Sus scrofa: one gene and its partner. The protein of the gene in region 2 purifies or fractionates together with the protein of the main gene of each other region. This does not show direct contact. Links are inferred from orthologs where the notes say so. Each region holds a gene or a part of one and is shown on either strand. Other genes may lie near its edges.

What was found.
Region 1: the proteins of CPSF6 (region 2) and NCBP3 purify together in Homo sapiens (co-immunoprecipitation; 3 studies listed by BioGRID and IntAct, with this or other methods). This does not show direct contact. The link is inferred for Sus scrofa from reciprocal best matches to the Homo sapiens genes CPSF6 and NCBP3.

What each region holds. Positions count from the first base shown.
Region 1 is NC_010454.4:49,887,760-49,891,259, forward strand, and holds part of NCBP3 (nuclear cap-binding protein subunit 3), read right to left. Parts: intron 3,473-3,500; coding exon 3,318-3,472; intron 1,577-3,317; coding exon 1,415-1,576; intron 185-1,414; coding exon 1-184. UniProt on the Homo sapiens protein: Associates with NCBP1/CBP80 to form an alternative cap-binding complex (CBC) which plays a key role in mRNA export. NCBP3 serves as adapter protein linking the capped RNAs (m7GpppG-capped RNA) to NCBP1/CBP80.
Region 2 is NC_010447.5:33,524,526-33,528,467, reverse strand, and holds the start of CPSF6 (cleavage and polyadenylation specificity factor subunit 6), read right to left. Parts: upstream 2,801-3,942; 5' UTR 2,705-2,800; coding exon 2,645-2,704; intron 1-2,644. UniProt on the Homo sapiens protein: Component of the cleavage factor Im (CFIm) complex that functions as an activator of the pre-mRNA 3'-end cleavage and polyadenylation processing required for the maturation of pre-mRNA into functional mRNAs.

The sequences.
Region 1 (3,500 bases), on a different chromosome or scaffold from region 2:
AGAGATGGTAAGTTATCTAACCGGCTCTTCTTTTGGCGAGACTGTTCTTTCTCCTTAATCAGAGCCCCCCACGCCCTCTGCAGCTCCGAGTCATCCTCCTCAGTGCCGGGCGTCCTGTGATCCACTTTCTTCGTGTTCTTTTCTTTGGTCTTGGTTGCAGATCCTAAGCGAGTCCATAAACTACCTGTTTGGGTGAGAAGGCATTTCAGCTCTGGTAGTCGATGCTGAGAAACAGGGCTACTGTCAACACCTGACATGCAAGAAACACGGGGGGATCTGTGGCACTTGCAACCACGATGCAGACCTGGGCAGACGGCCTCATTTCTCTGGTGCGGTGTAGACCGAGGGGACTGGACCCAGCAGGAGACTCTCACGGCTTGCGGATATGTGCTTCCCACGCTAGCCACACAGAATCGCCTGGGAGCCTGCTTATGCTACACCTGCCCTCTCCCGGGGAGACTCCCCATGCTGTGCACAACTTCATTCTGCCAGGAGTGGGCCATTCCAGATCATTCCCAGGTAAGACTTTGGGCAAACTGACAGGCCTGCATGCTCTCTGTAAACTTTCAGATTCTGACCACTCTTCATTACTTTTTTTTTAATTTTATTTTGTTCTGTTCTTTATCACTTTATTTATTTGGGCCACACCTGTGGCATGCTGAAGTTCCCAGGCCAGGGATCAAACCCGCACTACAGTAGTGACTAGAGCCACAGTGGTGACAAAGCTGGATCCTTTACCCACGGAGCCAATAGGGAACTCCATTATTTAAAAAATATTGATATTTAATAGAGAAATACATGTTTTGAATTCCATAGGATAGTCACACTCTAAGACAATTTAAAGTTTTACTTGTAAAGACAACAACAATGTGGAAAAATGACTATGATAAGATGATACAGGAGTTTCAGTTGTGGCGCAGCAGAAATGAATCTGACTAGTATCCCCGAGGATTCGGTTTGATCCCTGGCCTCGCTCAGTGGGTCAGGGATCCGGTGTTGCCGTGAGCTGTGGTGTAGGATGACAGCTGATTCCACCCCCTAGCCTGGAAACATCTATATGCCATGGGTGTGGCCTTAAAAAACAAAAATAAATAAATAAATAAATAGCTTAAAAAAATGCCGCAGGAACAGAGCAGGACATGTATACAGGCAAAGACTGGAATAGCATCTATGAAACCATGCGCTAAATAGAAAGAATCAGGGGTGGGTTTTCTTTTTCTCCATTTTCTGTATTTCCCATTGTTATCATTACGATGATGGCGTGGATGACAATGATTATAACGGAAGAGGAAAAATAATTTATTCTTGTCTTACGCTCTTTCCTGCCTTCTGACAGCGAGTGTTTCCACGCTCGCCCTCGGTGTCTCTGCCCTGACCCAACTCCCACGCCCATCACTTTCAAGTGTTTACCAACCTGATTTCTTCTCCCGAGTATCCGAGTAGAGGCCTTTAACGTCTTGCCTGGGAACGCCGAGCCTACTATGGACATCAGAAAAGGGCTCTCTCCGAACGACCGGATTACTACTAAAAGGCTTTTCTGGAGAATATGGTCTTTTTCCTAATCGCTGGCGTATATCTACAAAAAGAAAACACAAAGTACTACGGTGGCCACAGGCGTATGCGTTGCTGTCTGTACTCACCCCGAGGTCTCTACAGGTCCTGGTGCAAATCTCCCCGAGTAAAGGCATGGGACCCGACACAACCAAGCTTCTAAGAGCCTTCCCTCTTCACAGTCAGCCTGGACCCACCCCCCCAGCAAAACTCGAATGAGAACCCCCAGGGGCTCAAATAGGGAAAAAAATCTAGGCCAACTGCTCCAGAAAGGAATTTCTGAGACAGAATAGACTGCTTTCTGTGTGTGTGTTTGTTTTTTAAAAGTAGAATCAAGCATGGAATTCCTGTCGTGGCTTAGCGGTTAACCAACCAAACTGGTATCCATGAAGACATGGGTTCGATCCCTGGCCTTGCTTAGTGGGTTAAGGATCCGGCGTTAGGTCAAAGAAGAGACTCAGATCCCACGTTGCGGGCAGCTGTAGCTCCCATTCGACCCCTATCCTGGGAATCTCCACATGCCATGGGTGCGGCCCTAAAAAGACAAAAAAACAAATAAATAAGTAAAGTAGAATTAAGCAGAGCAAATAGTTTATAAACATTTCAACTAACAACAAATACTGCGAGCTCCCTCAGGGTGGAAGCTGCAGTCTTTAAACATATAAGAAGTTCTCAATAAAACTATTACATTTTACAATAAATGTAATGAGCCTGACAAAAAGCAAAGGATCAAAGGAGTATGTCCCAAATGAGATTGGTTTGTCTTGTAACCACTGCCTCCCACCCCCGCCTTCGGTCCAGGAAATCTGCCTGTCCCCTGAGCTCCCTCTCACAGGAACAGCACAACAAAAAGGCAGACAGGAGTGGCTGTGCTGGCCTTTCACTCATCCTGCTCTCTGAGAACAGCGTCCCCGTCTGCCAGCTGCTCAGGCCTGAGCCCCTTGGCTTCTCTCCCTTTCCTGCCACACCTCCCAGGGCCGAGTCGTCTTCCTTGACACGGTGTGCCGTTCCCATCAATCCTGTCCCCACTGTCCCTGACCTAGGTCAGGCCCTTGCTTCTTACTTAACTCTCTATTGCACCCTACCCTGCCACCAAGTTCTTTCTGCAACAGAGAGAACATCATGTTACCACCCACCTCAAAAAAATCAGGTTGGCCAACTGAGAGCCTACGTCCTCTGCAAGGCCTCGCTCTACAGCCACGACCTCTGAGAAGCCTCCCGCAGGAGATCTTCCCCCAGGTGGCCGACCGCCCCTCTCTGCTCCCACAGGCCACCGCTTACAGTGTCCCCCCCTCTGCTCTGGGTGTAATTATCCGAATGGGGGCTCTACTGCTTTCCATCTGCGTTCTGATGATGAGTTCGCACCCCCTGCAGAACTCTGACGCTCCTGGCACCTGGCCCTGGCACACAGCGAGCAGGGCCGAGGATTCACTATAAGCCTGTTTGCACATATAAACTAACCAGTTCAAATGCTTAACCATTTACACCGCAACCCAACTTAATTTCTACTGTCCTTATGTATAAAGTACACCAATGACATACAGGGTAGAATAACTGTTTGGGACAAAAATATTGAAAGCCAGTACTGCAAAGGTCTGATTAAATTTCACGTCCTAAAATCCCAATGCGTAACCTAAAATTTAGAAGTGATTAACAGCACAACTAAACTGGTCCACAAATTATAACATTTTATCCAAGAATCTATCCCTGCCCCGAATTCCTTTCTGGAACTCAGAATGAAGTCCAGAAACACAACGGAACAATACCTGTTTTAGTATTGCTGCTTGGTGGCCGTGGACGTGTGTGCTGACGTTTTTCATCTAACAAATGTCGGACATCCGCAAATTTCTCAGGCGGTAATTTGTTACCAATTCGGTTTTTTATATTGCTTGTGGATAGAGTGTCTGCCCTCATGGAGTTCCTTGAAAAAAAAAAAAGGGCGGGGGAGG
Region 2 (3,942 bases):
AAAAATGTAATGTCTTACACTTTCTGCAACAGGTTTATAATGAGCTTTACCAAAATACACACATGGAAAAAAGGATCATAAAAGTATGGCCATTTAAAACAGAAGAAAATGGAAAATACATAAACTACAAAGAATTTAAGAGAATACAGTTTAATTAAAGGTTGTTTTTAAATGTTTACAGTAGTTTAGAAGTCAAAATAAGCCATGACCCATTATATTTAGCAAAACATTTTACTCGACTACAACAAAATAAGAGTCACTTTACTAGAGCAACCAGTAGAAGTAAGGTTGCCAGCGAATTAGAAAGTGAATTAAATCAATCACAGTAATTCTGTAGTTGCTTCTAATTCTGACAAGATTTCAGAAAAATATTTCAATGATACCTACATTTTTTTAAATGAAGGACAAACCTTGAAAACAACCAACCATCTTTTTGTGGCCATATTTCAACCAGGAACTACCACAGCAAGCAGTAGATTGCAAAGGCCAATCAATGCACAATAACAACAACAAAGCCTCTATTTAATTCCATTAACCTATTCAAAAGTACAAAGATTTTATTGGTAAAATCATACAACTATGTGAGAAACATATGCTATAGGAACAAGTCAACAAAAAGTTACATTTTTACAAGAACCCTATAAAGCAGTTCCTCATTGGTGCCACAAAATTTTAATCTCTCCTTACCTCCTGCTCAGTCAGCACTAGTTACTGCACAGGGATAAGCAAGTATCACTCCATCCAGCTATACAGATTAGAGAAATGTCCATCCCAAATTAAGTATGCCAAAGCTTAAAAAATGTTCCATTAAAAGGTTCTGAAGAAAGCTCAACTTCTAAAAGTGTAGCTCAATTCTTCTTTTAACATGGGGAGAAAAACAGTAAATTTTCTTGTAAGAAAGCTAACGAAGACTGTTGAACACTTAATTGTTCCTTTACTTGCAGATATGGACCTCTTTTCTATGCAATGTTATACTCATTTAATAAAAGGAAAGGAAATTTCCTAGAAGTCTTTGTCTACAGACCTTAAAAAAGCTTAGAATCTGACCATGTAGCACTCAAGGTAATTTTCTAAAATGTCATTGACACATCTCAGGAATCACATATCCAAAATGTAAACACAATAAAAAGAAGACAGATTTTCAAACTTCACGTTTGATTACAACGGGTTACATTTAAATATATAAACGGAATAGGAAACATTAAAGCTAACTGAATTTTTTTTCTAATATTTAAAACAGGGATACAATCAATCTTCAAAAAAAGACCTGCAAGGATTTCCAGCTTTCTCTATTAAAAAAAAAAAAAAATCTTGCGTCACAAATAAGAGTCTTAATGGAGAGGGTTTTTTCGAAACCCACAAAAACACATTAACCAGTAGAATTTTACTGAGCTTCTCATAAGGACTTGGAAAATATGAAAAAAATAAAGCCTTTACGTACACTGCAGTCGGGCACAATTTGATTTTTTTAAAATGTGTTGCTACATAAAAGGCAGTAAAAATGTGAACAGTAGGTTTACAGCTTAAACGTCACTACTCTAGTAACAACCTTTTACAAGGATGCTCAACATCAGACATCACAGCTCCTGCGGCTAGTCCTTCTAGGCAACTGCGGCCTGCGATACAAGAAAAAAAACCTTGCATTCTCACTTTCTCTGGCCTCTCTTAACTCCTCGGAGGACACTAAACATTTTGCTTTTGGAAATCGGTTCATTGCTACAACCTTTATTTTAAAACTATACCATATGAAATGCGTGTGAAATTCTTTAATCACAACTCTGATCTCTTGGTGAGCTACCTTTTTTATTCCATCCAACCATCGCGCTTCCAAGTCTTCCTTTTGGCCCGAGCCACCGATCTAACTGGTATTTTCATCACAAAGGCCAAGAGCAGCTGGGCCTCAAAGGCACCGTAAGCCCTCGACCACCGGGGCAGGGCCAGCGCCACCGACTTTCACACACGATCCCAAGTCAAAGGACTTGTTGCAAACGTGCCCGCACCTTAGCCTCCTTCCTAAAGAGTGAAGGGAGGAGGAGGAAGGCACCACGCCGAAACCTGTCGCAAACGCGAGCAGGAGAGCCCAGGAAGCAGGGCGCGCGGGATACAAAGGGCCGTGAACGCGGCCTTCCATGAGGCGACCGTGCACCGAAAGGCAGACAAAATGGAGCGACTGGAGGAATCGGAGTCCGAGCGGCAGGGCTGGGGGCGAGGCGGCGGCCGGCGCGCGCCCCGCCGGGCTTCCTCCTCGCCCCGGCGGCGGGGGAGGGGGCGCCGGGGCCGCCGTTCTCCCCGCCGCGCACACGCCGTCCTGCCGCCCGGGCCTAGCGCGGCGGGAAGCGCCCGCCGGCCGCCGCCAACAATGGAGAGCGAGGCGGAGGCGCGGGAGGGGCAGGAGGTGGCTGCACGGCGGCCGGCGTCCGCGCTCGGAGCCCCGTGGCAGGTCGCCGCGCCCGCGGCCCGTGAAACGACGCGGTAGAACGACGGGCAAGGGGGGCGCCGCGCCGGGGTCGGGCGGCGCGGCCCACAGGCGCCAAGGGCGCACGGTCTGCAGCCACGCCGGCTCGCGGCCCGCGGCGGGCCCCGAGTCCTCTTCCCGCCCGTAGCGCCGCCCAACTCGGCGGCGTGAGCCCGGGCCCTCACGTACCTGGTTGAACTCTTCGCCCACATCCGCGTAAATGTCTATGTGGTCCACACCGTCCGCCATCTTCCCTCGGCCTCGGCCGCCGCCGCCGCCGCCGCCTCCTGCAGGTCCGCCAGCCGCGGCAGCAGCAGCGGATCTAGCGGCGGGGGCGGGGCGCGCTGCGTCACTTCCGAGGCCCAAGGGCCGAGGCGGGGGCGGCCGGGGGCGCCGGGCTCCTCAGCCGCTGCCGGCTCGGCCCGCCGAGAGCGGAATCTGCAGCTCCCAGTGCACCGGCGGTTTCTTTTGTGTGTCTGGGTTAGGCTCGGGGGGCGGGGCAGGGGGTGGTCCCACTTGTTTCCAGAGACTGTTGTCTCGGAGCTCTGGCACTCTCAAACGTTTGGTAATATTTGCATTTGTCGGCTTTTCTTATATTTCTCACAGCCAGGGTTTTTAGAGAGGTGGAAGTTTTAGGTCCAAGATGAAATACGAAGTGTAACCCCGCTTTCTGTGAGCGCCTTGGGAAGAGAGCAGTGTCTTACCCCTGTATCTTCAGAGGGCTACTGAGATAGGGTTGCCTTGTAAAAACTAGGTACCCTAGAAGGTTATCTTGAGTTATTTGCATGCTACTTAGGTTATTTGCATGCTGTTTATCTTTCCATTGGTATCTCCCTCCTCTTCTTTAATCTCTTCTTCCTCCCTTCATTGCCTTTCATTTTTTCCTCCTTTGATCTGCAGTTGGTTTTCTCTGGAGTAATTGAAATGCCGTTAACACGAAGGCAGTCCTTCTGGGGTTCGTCCCCCCTCCCCTTCCCACCACCACAGTAAGGTAGAGGTATGTTGAAGCGAGGGGCCTCTTAGAATCACAGAATATCGGAGAGGGAACTGGAAAAGGTGTCATTAGGTCCAAATATCTAATTTTACAGATGAGAGAGGTAACTGAGGCCTAAAGAAGCTAAATAGTGTATCCGAGTCTCGGGTTAATAAGGAAAGCATTTGCTGCCAATGAATGTAGTAGTCCCTCCTTAAAGAAGGTTCAGATCCTTAACCCACTGCGGAAAGCCAGGGATTGAACCTGCAACCTCATGATTCCTAGTCAGATTCATTAACCACTGAGCCAGGATGGGAACTCTGTGAGTAGAGTCTTGAAATCTCTAGCCATCCCACTCCAACCAGCCCTGGAAGTGAATCATCTCTCTGTTTAGCACCTCTTACACCGTACCTGTTAATAGAGGAAAAAACAGTATATGTAGAGTTTAGTACTATCCACAATTTCAGGCATCCACTAAGGATCTTGGAATATATGCCCTCAGGTAAGTGAGGAC